Callithrix jacchus: one gene and its partner. The protein of the gene in region 1 binds, or shares a complex with, the protein of each later gene. Links are inferred from orthologs where the notes say so. Each region holds a gene or a part of one and is shown on either strand. Other genes may lie near its edges.

The links. The genes of interacting proteins can lie anywhere in the genome.
Region 2: the proteins of EIF4A1 (region 1) and PDCD4 are in contact, whole or in part, in a crystal structure (PDB 2ZU6), measured with the Homo sapiens proteins. The link is inferred for Callithrix jacchus from reciprocal best matches to the Homo sapiens genes EIF4A1 and PDCD4. Residues at the interface, in NP_001407.1 of Homo sapiens: Gln75, Thr109, Arg110, Glu111, Ile135, Gly137, Val140, Thr158, Gly160, Arg161, Asp164, Glu186, Leu188, Ser189, Arg190, Gly191, Phe192, Gln195, Ala214, Thr215, Met216, Pro217, Glu240, Leu241, Thr242, Asn280, Thr281, Arg282, Arg283, Thr329; in NP_055271.2 of Homo sapiens: Pro170, Gln173, Glu174, Glu177, His178, Glu183, Glu186, Met187, Asp190, Leu209, Glu210, Lys212, Glu249, Leu250, Leu252, Asp253, Thr254, Pro255, Arg256, Gly320, Gln321, Gln322, Ser323, Val324, Leu327, Glu348, Lys352, Glu355, Val356, Pro357.

The regions. Positions count from the first base shown.
Region 1 is NC_133506.1:74,070,213-74,073,514, forward strand, and holds the end of EIF4A1 (eukaryotic initiation factor 4A-I), read left to right. Parts: coding exon 1-65; exon of another isoform or gene 66-89; intron 90-792; coding exon 793-936; intron 937-1,016; coding exon 1,017-1,154; intron 1,155-1,274; coding exon 1,275-1,364; intron 1,365-1,402; exon of another isoform or gene 1,403-1,543; intron 1,544-1,612; coding exon 1,613-1,692; intron 1,693-1,790; coding exon 1,791-1,935; 3' UTR 1,936-2,444; downstream 2,445-3,302. Other genes in the region: CD68 (macrosialin), read left to right, coding at 3,092-3,140, 3,222-3,302. UniProt on the Homo sapiens protein: ATP-dependent RNA helicase which is a subunit of the eIF4F complex involved in cap recognition and is required for mRNA binding to ribosome.
Region 2 is NC_133513.1:103,813,149-103,818,582, forward strand, and holds the start of PDCD4 (programmed cell death protein 4), read left to right. Parts: upstream 1-1,979; 5' UTR 1,980-2,075; intron 2,076-3,201; 5' UTR 3,202-3,226; intron 3,227-5,434. UniProt on the Homo sapiens protein: Inhibits translation initiation and cap-dependent translation. May excert its function by hindering the interaction between EIF4A1 and EIF4G. Inhibits the helicase activity of EIF4A. Modulates the activation of JUN kinase.

The DNA.
Region 1 (3,302 bases):
TGTTAAGCCGTGGATTCAAGGACCAGATCTATGACATCTTCCAAAAGCTCAACAGCAACACCCAGGTGAGGGCAGTCTTGCTTGAATAGCTGAAAAAAAAAAATAGTTAAGGACAGAGTTTGGCTCTTGTTGGCCAGGCTGGAGTGCTGTGGTAGCTCTGCCCAGCTGATTTTTTGTATTTTTAGTAGAGAGGGTTTCACCATGTTGGTCAGGCTGATCTCAGACTTCTGACTGCTCAGGTATTTGCCCGCCTTGGCCTCCTAAAGTGCTAGGCTTACAGGCATGAACCGCCACACCCAGCAGTGATTATTTTCTAGAAGAAAAATAGCAAGTGCTAGAAGAACCAAATTTTGGATTGCTATCTTGACTTTTTTTTTTTTTTTTTTTGGCACCCACTTCACTTTTTTTTTTTTTTGAGACAGAGTTTTGCTCTTTTTACCCAGGCTGGAGTGCAATGGCGCAATCTTGGCTTGCTGCAACCTCCGCCTCCTGGGTTCAGGCAATTCTGCCTCAGCCTCCCGAGTAGCTGGGATTATAGGCATGCACCACCGTGCCCAGCTAATTTTTTGTATTTTTAGTAGAGACGGGGTTTCACCATGTTGACCAGGATGGGGTCGATTTCTTGACCTCGTGATCCACCTGCCTCGGGCCTCCCAAAGTGCTGGGATTACAAGGTGGCTTGAGCCACCTCGCTCGTCCACCCACTTCAGTTTTAGGTGTGACTAGGGAAGGGAGCAGGCGTCAGAAAGGACACCTAAGAAAGGCTCTAAGGCTGGCCTTTTTCTCCATTAGGTAGTTTTGCTGTCAGCTACAATGCCTTCTGACGTGCTTGAGGTGACCAAGAAGTTCATGAGGGACCCCATTCGGATTCTTGTCAAGAAGGAAGAGTTGACCTTGGAGGGTATCCGCCAATTCTACATCAATGTGGAACGAGAGGTGGGGCCCAGTGCAGGAGGCGGGTCTGGTAGTGAGTTGTTGGGTATAGCCCCTGACTGATTTTGTCCCCACACCTCCAGGAATGGAAGCTGGACACACTGTGTGACTTGTATGAAACCCTGACCATCACCCAGGCAGTCATCTTCATCAACACCCGAAGGAAGGTGGACTGGCTCACTGAGAAGATGCATGCTCGAGATTTCACTGTCTCTGCCATGGTGTGTTTGCTTGTTGCCAGCCCTTTGTGGGTCTGCCCATCAGAAGTGTCCTCCTCCAAGCCAGTGTTCCCAAAACCCATGTACCTGCCTGGCCTGTTAGATGCTTATTTTCTCTTCTAGCATGGAGATATGGACCAAAAGGAACGAGATGTAATCATGAGGGAATTTCGTTCTGGCTCTAGCAGAGTTTTGATTACCACAGACCTACTGGTGAGTAGAGGGAATTTACTGGAAAGGCAAAAGGGAGGATCCAAGGTGATTCCCTCTCCAAGGGGACTTCCAGTGCCCCTCTCAGGAAAGTAGCAACTTGGAATAGAATCTGGCATGCCTAAGGTCTTTGGGGGAACAGGGATGCTTATTTCCTCTGCTTTCCTTGGCTGCCTACATGGATATCCATGTGTCATCCCTTTGGGATAGGTTCTCATGCACATGCTGAAGAGTTGTCTCTCTTGATGTAGGCCAGAGGCATTGATGTGCAGCAGGTTTCTTTAGTCATCAACTATGACCTTCCCACCAACAGGGAAAACTATATCCACAGGTAAGTGTACATCTGGAACACTGCCCCACCCCCCTCATGCCTGGCCTTCACTGGACTAAAGCTCCTCATGTTCCTCATCCCCTTCCCTTGTTTTCCAGAATCGGTCGAGGTGGACGGTTTGGCCGTAAGGGTGTGGCTATTAACATGGTGACAGAAGAAGACAAGCGGACTCTTCGAGACATAGAGACCTTCTACAACACCTCCATTGAGGAAATGCCCCTCAATGTTGCTGACCTCATCTGAGGGGCTGTCCTGCCACCTAACCCCAACCAGAGTTCAGTCTTCGGGGGGGCTGAGGAGTAGCAGGCGGGGGGAGGGAAGGGAGCCAAGGGATGGACATCTTGTCATTTTTTTCTTTGAATAAATGTCACTTTTTGAGGCAAAAGAAGGAACCGTGAACATTTTAGACACCCTTTTCTTTGGGGTAGGCTCTTGCCCCAGGCGCCGGCTCTTCTCCCAAAAAACACTAATCCATTTCCCTAACCTAGTAACCTCCAGATCCCAGAGGCTCTCCTCACCTCAGCTGAGCTCCTTTGAAAGTGATTCAAGGGACTGTGTCATTCAGCCTCATTTGCTGGACCAAATCTGGAGGAAGAACCCTGAAAACCCCTCAGCAAGATTGCCCAGGGGATTGTCCCCAGGTGGGGGGAAGCAGGGGAGAGAAAATGGTAGCCATTTTTACATTGTTTTGTATAGTATTTATTGATTCAGGAAACAAACAAAATTCTGAATAAAATGACTTGGAAACTGCCTGTTTGGGCTTCTCATTTCTTACCTCCCCTACCCCCTTCCACCTGCTATTGGGTGCATCTCCCTCCCCCCTTTACTAGCAGATTGTTGCTTTTCTTGCCACCATCTGAGCATTCCCAAACGCTGAACAACTGTTCTTAGCACTGAGAATGGTGATGGCAGGAGTGCTGCCCCTCTGTAAAGGGCTGGGTGTGAACATCACAAGCCCCTCATGTGCCTCAGTCAAAAGGAAGAACTAGATGGGCCACCCATAAGGTCAAGGAGAAAGGGGAGTGGAAACACTGACTTCCCCACTGAGGGAGGGGCTGTTACCTTAGACGTCTGCCCCAACGGCCAAGCAAGTTTTGCTGAGAGGAATGGGTCCCTGCAGGTCAACAGCCTCAGGGTTTTGTATCCACGTGACACTGTTGACTTTGCCCTGATTGCTCCCGCTTAAGTGGGGGCCAACAGTCCCCTAACAATTTCGAAAACTAATGACTAAGAGATGGGTGGCTGGAGCTGAGGTCCCTGAGTCAGGCTGTGGGTGGGATCATCTCCTGTATGGGAAGTGAGACTTCTCATTTCCTCCTTTCCAAGAGAGGGCTGAGCCAGTAGGGTTGAGCAACTGGTACTGACAGCCGAGCTGGACTTTGGGTGAGGCAGTTCAGCCATGAGGCTGGCTGTGCTTTTGTTGGGGGCCTTGCTGGGGCTACTGGCAGGTAAGGAGGAAGACAGCTGAGGGGAGGGGGCCCCTGGGAGGGAGTTGGCCCCTGGGTTGCTAACCATCTCTCTGCCAAAAGCCCAGGGGACAGGGAATGACTGTCCTCACAAAAAATCAGCCACTCTGCTGCCGTCCTTCACGGTGACACCCACGGCTACAG
Region 2 (5,434 bases), on another chromosome or scaffold:
CGTCAGGTAGAATGTGATCAGTGCCTCTGGTGGCATGACAAGCCAATACTGTGAGGAATCGGGGCAAGAAGATCGTATCAAATCACAAGGCTCCATAAAAACTACCAGAGTCCACGAACAGTGGCTCACGGTTGTAATTCCAATACTTTGGAGGCAGCGGTGGGCTGACTGCTTGAGCCCAGGAGTTCCAGACCAGCCTGGACAACATGAGGAAACTCTGTCCATACAGAAAATACAGAAATTAGCTGGAAATAGTGAGGGGCGCCTGTTAGTCCCAGTTACTCAGGAGGCTGAGGTGAGAGGATCTCATAAGCCGGGAGGTCAAGGCCGCAGTGAGCTGTGATGGTGCCACTGCATTATCCTGGGCGACAGAGCAAGCCCCTACCCCAATTAAAGAAAAAAAACAAAAACAAAAAATAAAAAACTACCAGGGAGGGCCATGAGGCACAGACAGGATTGTGCCAGGCAGAGACAGAGGTAAGAGAAGAGAGACAGTTCTAGGTAATATATAAAGAACTAGGCCGGGTGTGGTGGCTCAAGCCTGTAATCCCAGCACTTTGGGAGGCCGAGGCGGGTGGATCACGAGGTCAAGAAATCGAGACCATCCTGGTCAACATGGTGAAACCCTGTCTCTACTAAAAATACAAAAAATTAGCTGGGCATGGTGGCGCGTGGCTGTAATCCCAGCTACTCAGGAGGCTGAGGCAGGAGAATTGCCTGAACCCAGGAGGCGGAGGTTGCGGTGAGCCGAGATCGCACCATTGCACTCCAGCCTGGGTAACAAGCGCGAAACTCCGTCTCAAAACAAACAAACAAACAAAACTAGCAGCGGGTGGGGAAGCATGTAGGGAGATGTGGAGACACAGCCTGAAAGTCTTAAAGTCACATAGTGGAGCCTTGAATGACCGACCCGGGTGCTGACACTCAAGAGAGGCAATGGGAAGACAATGAAGGTTTATTGTTTTGTTTTGTTTTGTGCAGAGAAATAGTAGCATTAGAGATGATTCCCAGGCAGGGTGACTGGGTAGCCAGGGTAAGGCGTGGCTTGTGCGGAATTAAGACAGTTGGGTTCTGGAGAGACCAAGCAATCATTCATGTGTGACCCATCAAACAACTGGAAAATCTGATCAGAGGTAAGTGGTTAAGTCCCCTCCTGGGAGCAGAGGGAGCACAAGGTTCTGGTTATTACCTCAGGGGACAGCGACCGAGAAAGAATACGGAAAGGACCAGCCAAAACGAACGCAGCCAAGACGAAAGGTCACAGAGAACAGCCAGGGGACCTGGGAATTTCAATACAGAGATTGTAGCCATGGCCCAGAACCCCAGCACGGGAGTCCAGAATGTGTGCGTTTGAACACCAGAGGCTTGGCTAGTCATGATTAGCAAAGCGACTTCAAAGAGTTTTTGAGCCTGTCTTATATCTGTAAAATGGGAATGATTTCTATCTCAAAGGGTTGAGGGGATTCGCTGAGAGTAACTTCTTAGTTATGGGATCTGCAGAAACTCTCCCTGGAGAGAGCAGGGGCCAGAGGGAGAAGGAATCCGACAGGCTGAACACTTGGGAGTGTCTAGAAATGGAGGCAGGGACCGTCAGGAAGCTGAAAATCTTTGCTTCAGCTGAGTTTGCAGCACGCCGTGCGAGGAGAATGGGTGCGCTGGGTCTGGGGAGCTTCTTTGTCCCCATTCCCCAGCACTGCCCGTGGGCCGACGCTCCCATCCCGCCACGCCTCCCAACGTACCCTCACCCGGGCTTCCCGCTCAGCTCCCGCTCCAGCCAGTCCCAGGAACCACAAGCGCATGCGCCCTCCCGCGCCCCTCCCCAACTTTCCACGTTTCATTCCTCTCCCTTTTCCTCCCCAGCTCCGGCTCCGCCGCTACGATTGGCCAACCGGCCACCGGGCCTCCGCCAATAAGCGCAGCCTTCTCGCCCCCGTGTTACTGGGTAGAAGAAAACAAAAACAAACAGAGCGAGAGGGGCCAGAGACTCTCCGAGGTGCAGAGGCGGCGGAGGCAGAGGAGCGGGATCGGGGCCGGCAGACCGGGGACCTGGGCGAGCAGCGGCGGGGGCCCGAGGGGTCAGTACCAGTGGGCGCGGCTCGCACGCTCGGGAAGATTGCTCCCTTTCCCTCATTCCCCCTCGGGGCAGCCGCACGATGGGAGGGGGCATGGGGGCCGCGGCCCTGTCAGGTCCTGGCCTGCGAGGCTGGGGTCCGGCTGCCTCCTCATAGCCCCACAGGTCCAGCCGCGCCCGCCCCAACGCTCCGGGACGCCGGCCCGGTTCCCTCCATCTGGGCCCAGCCCGGAGCGTGGCGACGCGGGCCCGCCCCCTCCCGGAGTCCTCTCCCCACTGAGAGGGGCGCGCGCCGGCGAGGGCCCCCCCCCAACCCTCCTCCCCCTCTGGCGGAGGTTGAATTCGGGGGTCAGGATTGGAAGGCGTGTTTCCGGTGAGACTGAAATCCTGTGAGGAAGGTTCGCATCCTCACCGCGCCCTCCTGAGAATCCCCTGAAGATGCATCCCCATGCCCGGCGTGCCCCGGAGACCCGGTCCCGGCCCAGCAGTTTCTGGGGGCCAGCCAGGGCTGGGGACTTCGGGGGTCCGGGCCTGAGCCCTCTGCAAGGGAGCGGGCTCGGCCGCTGCGGGGAAGGGCCACGCGCTCGCCTCGCCGGGGGGCTAGGAGGCGTACACGTGCCCGCCTCCCCTGCCCTGTGCGAACTTCGCCGCTCCAGCCCTCCGGCAAAGGGTCTCTTTTTTTTAGTTTAGGTAAAATAAAATCTCCCGGAGAAAACAAAGCCGGGAAGGGAGCCCCCTTTCTGTGAAACGCGTGCCATCTGCTGCATTTGTCAGTTTGGTGCTGTAACGTACATGGAGTTTTGCAAGAGCTTTAAAACTGTCTGCAGACGTCGATTTAGCCCACCTCCCCCTTGCTCTTGTGAGAACTTGCTACGTAGCCAGCAACTGTGTAGTGTCTACAAATGATAAAAACGATCAGAAATGCTGCTAGGTGTCGGGGAAAAGAGGGTTTCTCCTATTTTTTAACTTGCATTTTTACTGTTAATTTTTATAATTTTGATATTCTTTTTTTTCTGCCCCCCACCCACAATTTTGATATTCTTAACGTGGCTGTTTTTTTGGGAAACCACCAAGTGCTTTTTAAACAAGTAGTTATTGGTATTTATGTCCTTAATATTCCTTCATTACAGGTTTATTGAATACCTTAATAACTCAGTAAGTGCCTTTGAATTCTAATTGATTGGCTTTTTCCGTGATACTAATGTGAAAGGAAAAATAATTGTTAGGACTAAAAAAATAAATGCCACTTGAATATTTTCTGTAGTGCTCGTTTTTGCATTATTGTGGTACAAAGCTTTTAGCTGATTTTAAGCTGCTAATTAGCTGGCTGTAGCCGAAGAATGAATATAAGTAATTGTAGTTAATAAATGACTCCCCAAAATGCCAGAGCAATTTCTGAGGTATATTTCGGGAAATACATACAAATATACATACATACATATATATATATGTATATATACACATATACATGTATATATACACATATACACACACACATTTGCGGGGGAGTGGAGGGTCTTTTAGGGAAATGTCTTGGGAATTGAATAACACACTGGAGAAAAGAACAGTGTTTAATGTCAGCCTTCGTTTTCTTCTAACTTGTATGTATAGTTTTCTCATTGAAAATTCGTTTTTATAGGATGGTATGAAGGAAATAGGGTTTGGATTTTTTGCCATGTATTTTCCTGTTTGGGCCAATTGTGTTAACGGTTAAATTGGAAAAAAAAAGTCCTACTAGTTTTAAAGAGAGTAAAAACGTGGAACGTGTCTTATCTTTATCTGAACTCTTAAAATGTGTGTTGGCTGCTTTCAAATATGACTTGAGTTATCGATCGGGTTATCATTGCCTAAAAACACAGGACTTTTTTTTTTTTATTAAGATAACTTTATTAGGTAAGAGATGATACTCATTTCCTGACAGTTTTCTTTGTCTGATGGAATGCCTTCTGTATGATAGTTTAAAATAATTATTTTAAGTGTTTGGAAAACAGTATTTTAAAAAGTTTGATTTAACAGCAGAAGTCTGTTTTAATAAGCTTCTTTAAGAATCTTCCTATGGGATATTAAAATCTTGGATTGAACTTGTGCAGACAGTACTGGATTTGGAAGGTCTAGATTCTCATCCTGGCTCAAACTAAGCAGCTGTTTGTCCTTGGACATATTACCTACCCTCTCTGAATCTGTTTAGTTGTGTGTAAAGTGGAATACCTACCTGAAGATTGTTCTGTAAGGTACTAAATAATACATGTAAAATTCTTTTTGAATTGCAAGGGGCTTTTTAAACATCAGTTATATTCATTTCACTTATTAGGTTCTGCAGAAAATATTCTCTCAAAGGTTATACTTTCATCAAGAATGAAAAAGACTATAATAGAACTCTAAAAAACTCAAACACATCATATGACATTATTCCTTTCCTATAGGTAATTCATGCATGGAATTGAAACAGAATGTAGCCTTTTCAGCCATCAAGGATGCTAAATGTTTAAATCTGCAAACCATTTTTGTTCATGTATCTATATGAATCTCCATATACATATTTTTAAGATTTCTTTTCAAATCTAAAGTTGGTGAGAGTTATATTGAAAAGTGATTATAAAGAATCACATATATGAATATAATCTAGACAGAATTAGAGAATGGTCTCACCGTTTTCTTAAGTTCCCAAGCAATATGATAGCATGTTAGTCTGAGGATTATGCCATAGTAAGAAGCTTATAATTTTAATCTAAGGTCCATTTGTTTTTGTTTCAAAAAATAATACCCTTTTCTGAAGAAAAGGTCTATGAACTTAGGTTAACAAATAATAGTTTATAATGAGGAATTTAAAAGTCAGTTTCACCTTTGAGTCCCAGGAGGCTTCGCATGTATTGTTATCCTAAAATGACATCTAACAGTAGATTATGTTATATGGAAAAAAAAATGTGCTTTTCTGTAATTAATTTATTAGGCCTTTTCACTAATTTGTGCATTTTATATCTCTGAAGAGAACACTGTTAGCAACATGATTATAAATGAATCAGGAAGGACTTAATATATCACCTATGTGACTTAAACATACGCTTAAGTACTCTAAACCACTATTTAAAAAATACTTCTAGAGAGACTCTGACATCTTAATTTGCTTACACGTTCTAGTAATATATTTTTTGAATACTTTTGATATTTCTTTAATATAATATTATTGGATCTGTATCACTAAGTGAATTGTCTGAAAGGTAACTGATTTCATCAAACCTTTCAGAATTAATAATTTTTAGGCCATTTTGAAACTGAGGCCTGAAATACTGAGATGCTTATGTCATTGTACTTACTTCTTTCTGAGATGATCAGATTTAAAAAAAATGGATTTCTCATATAAAT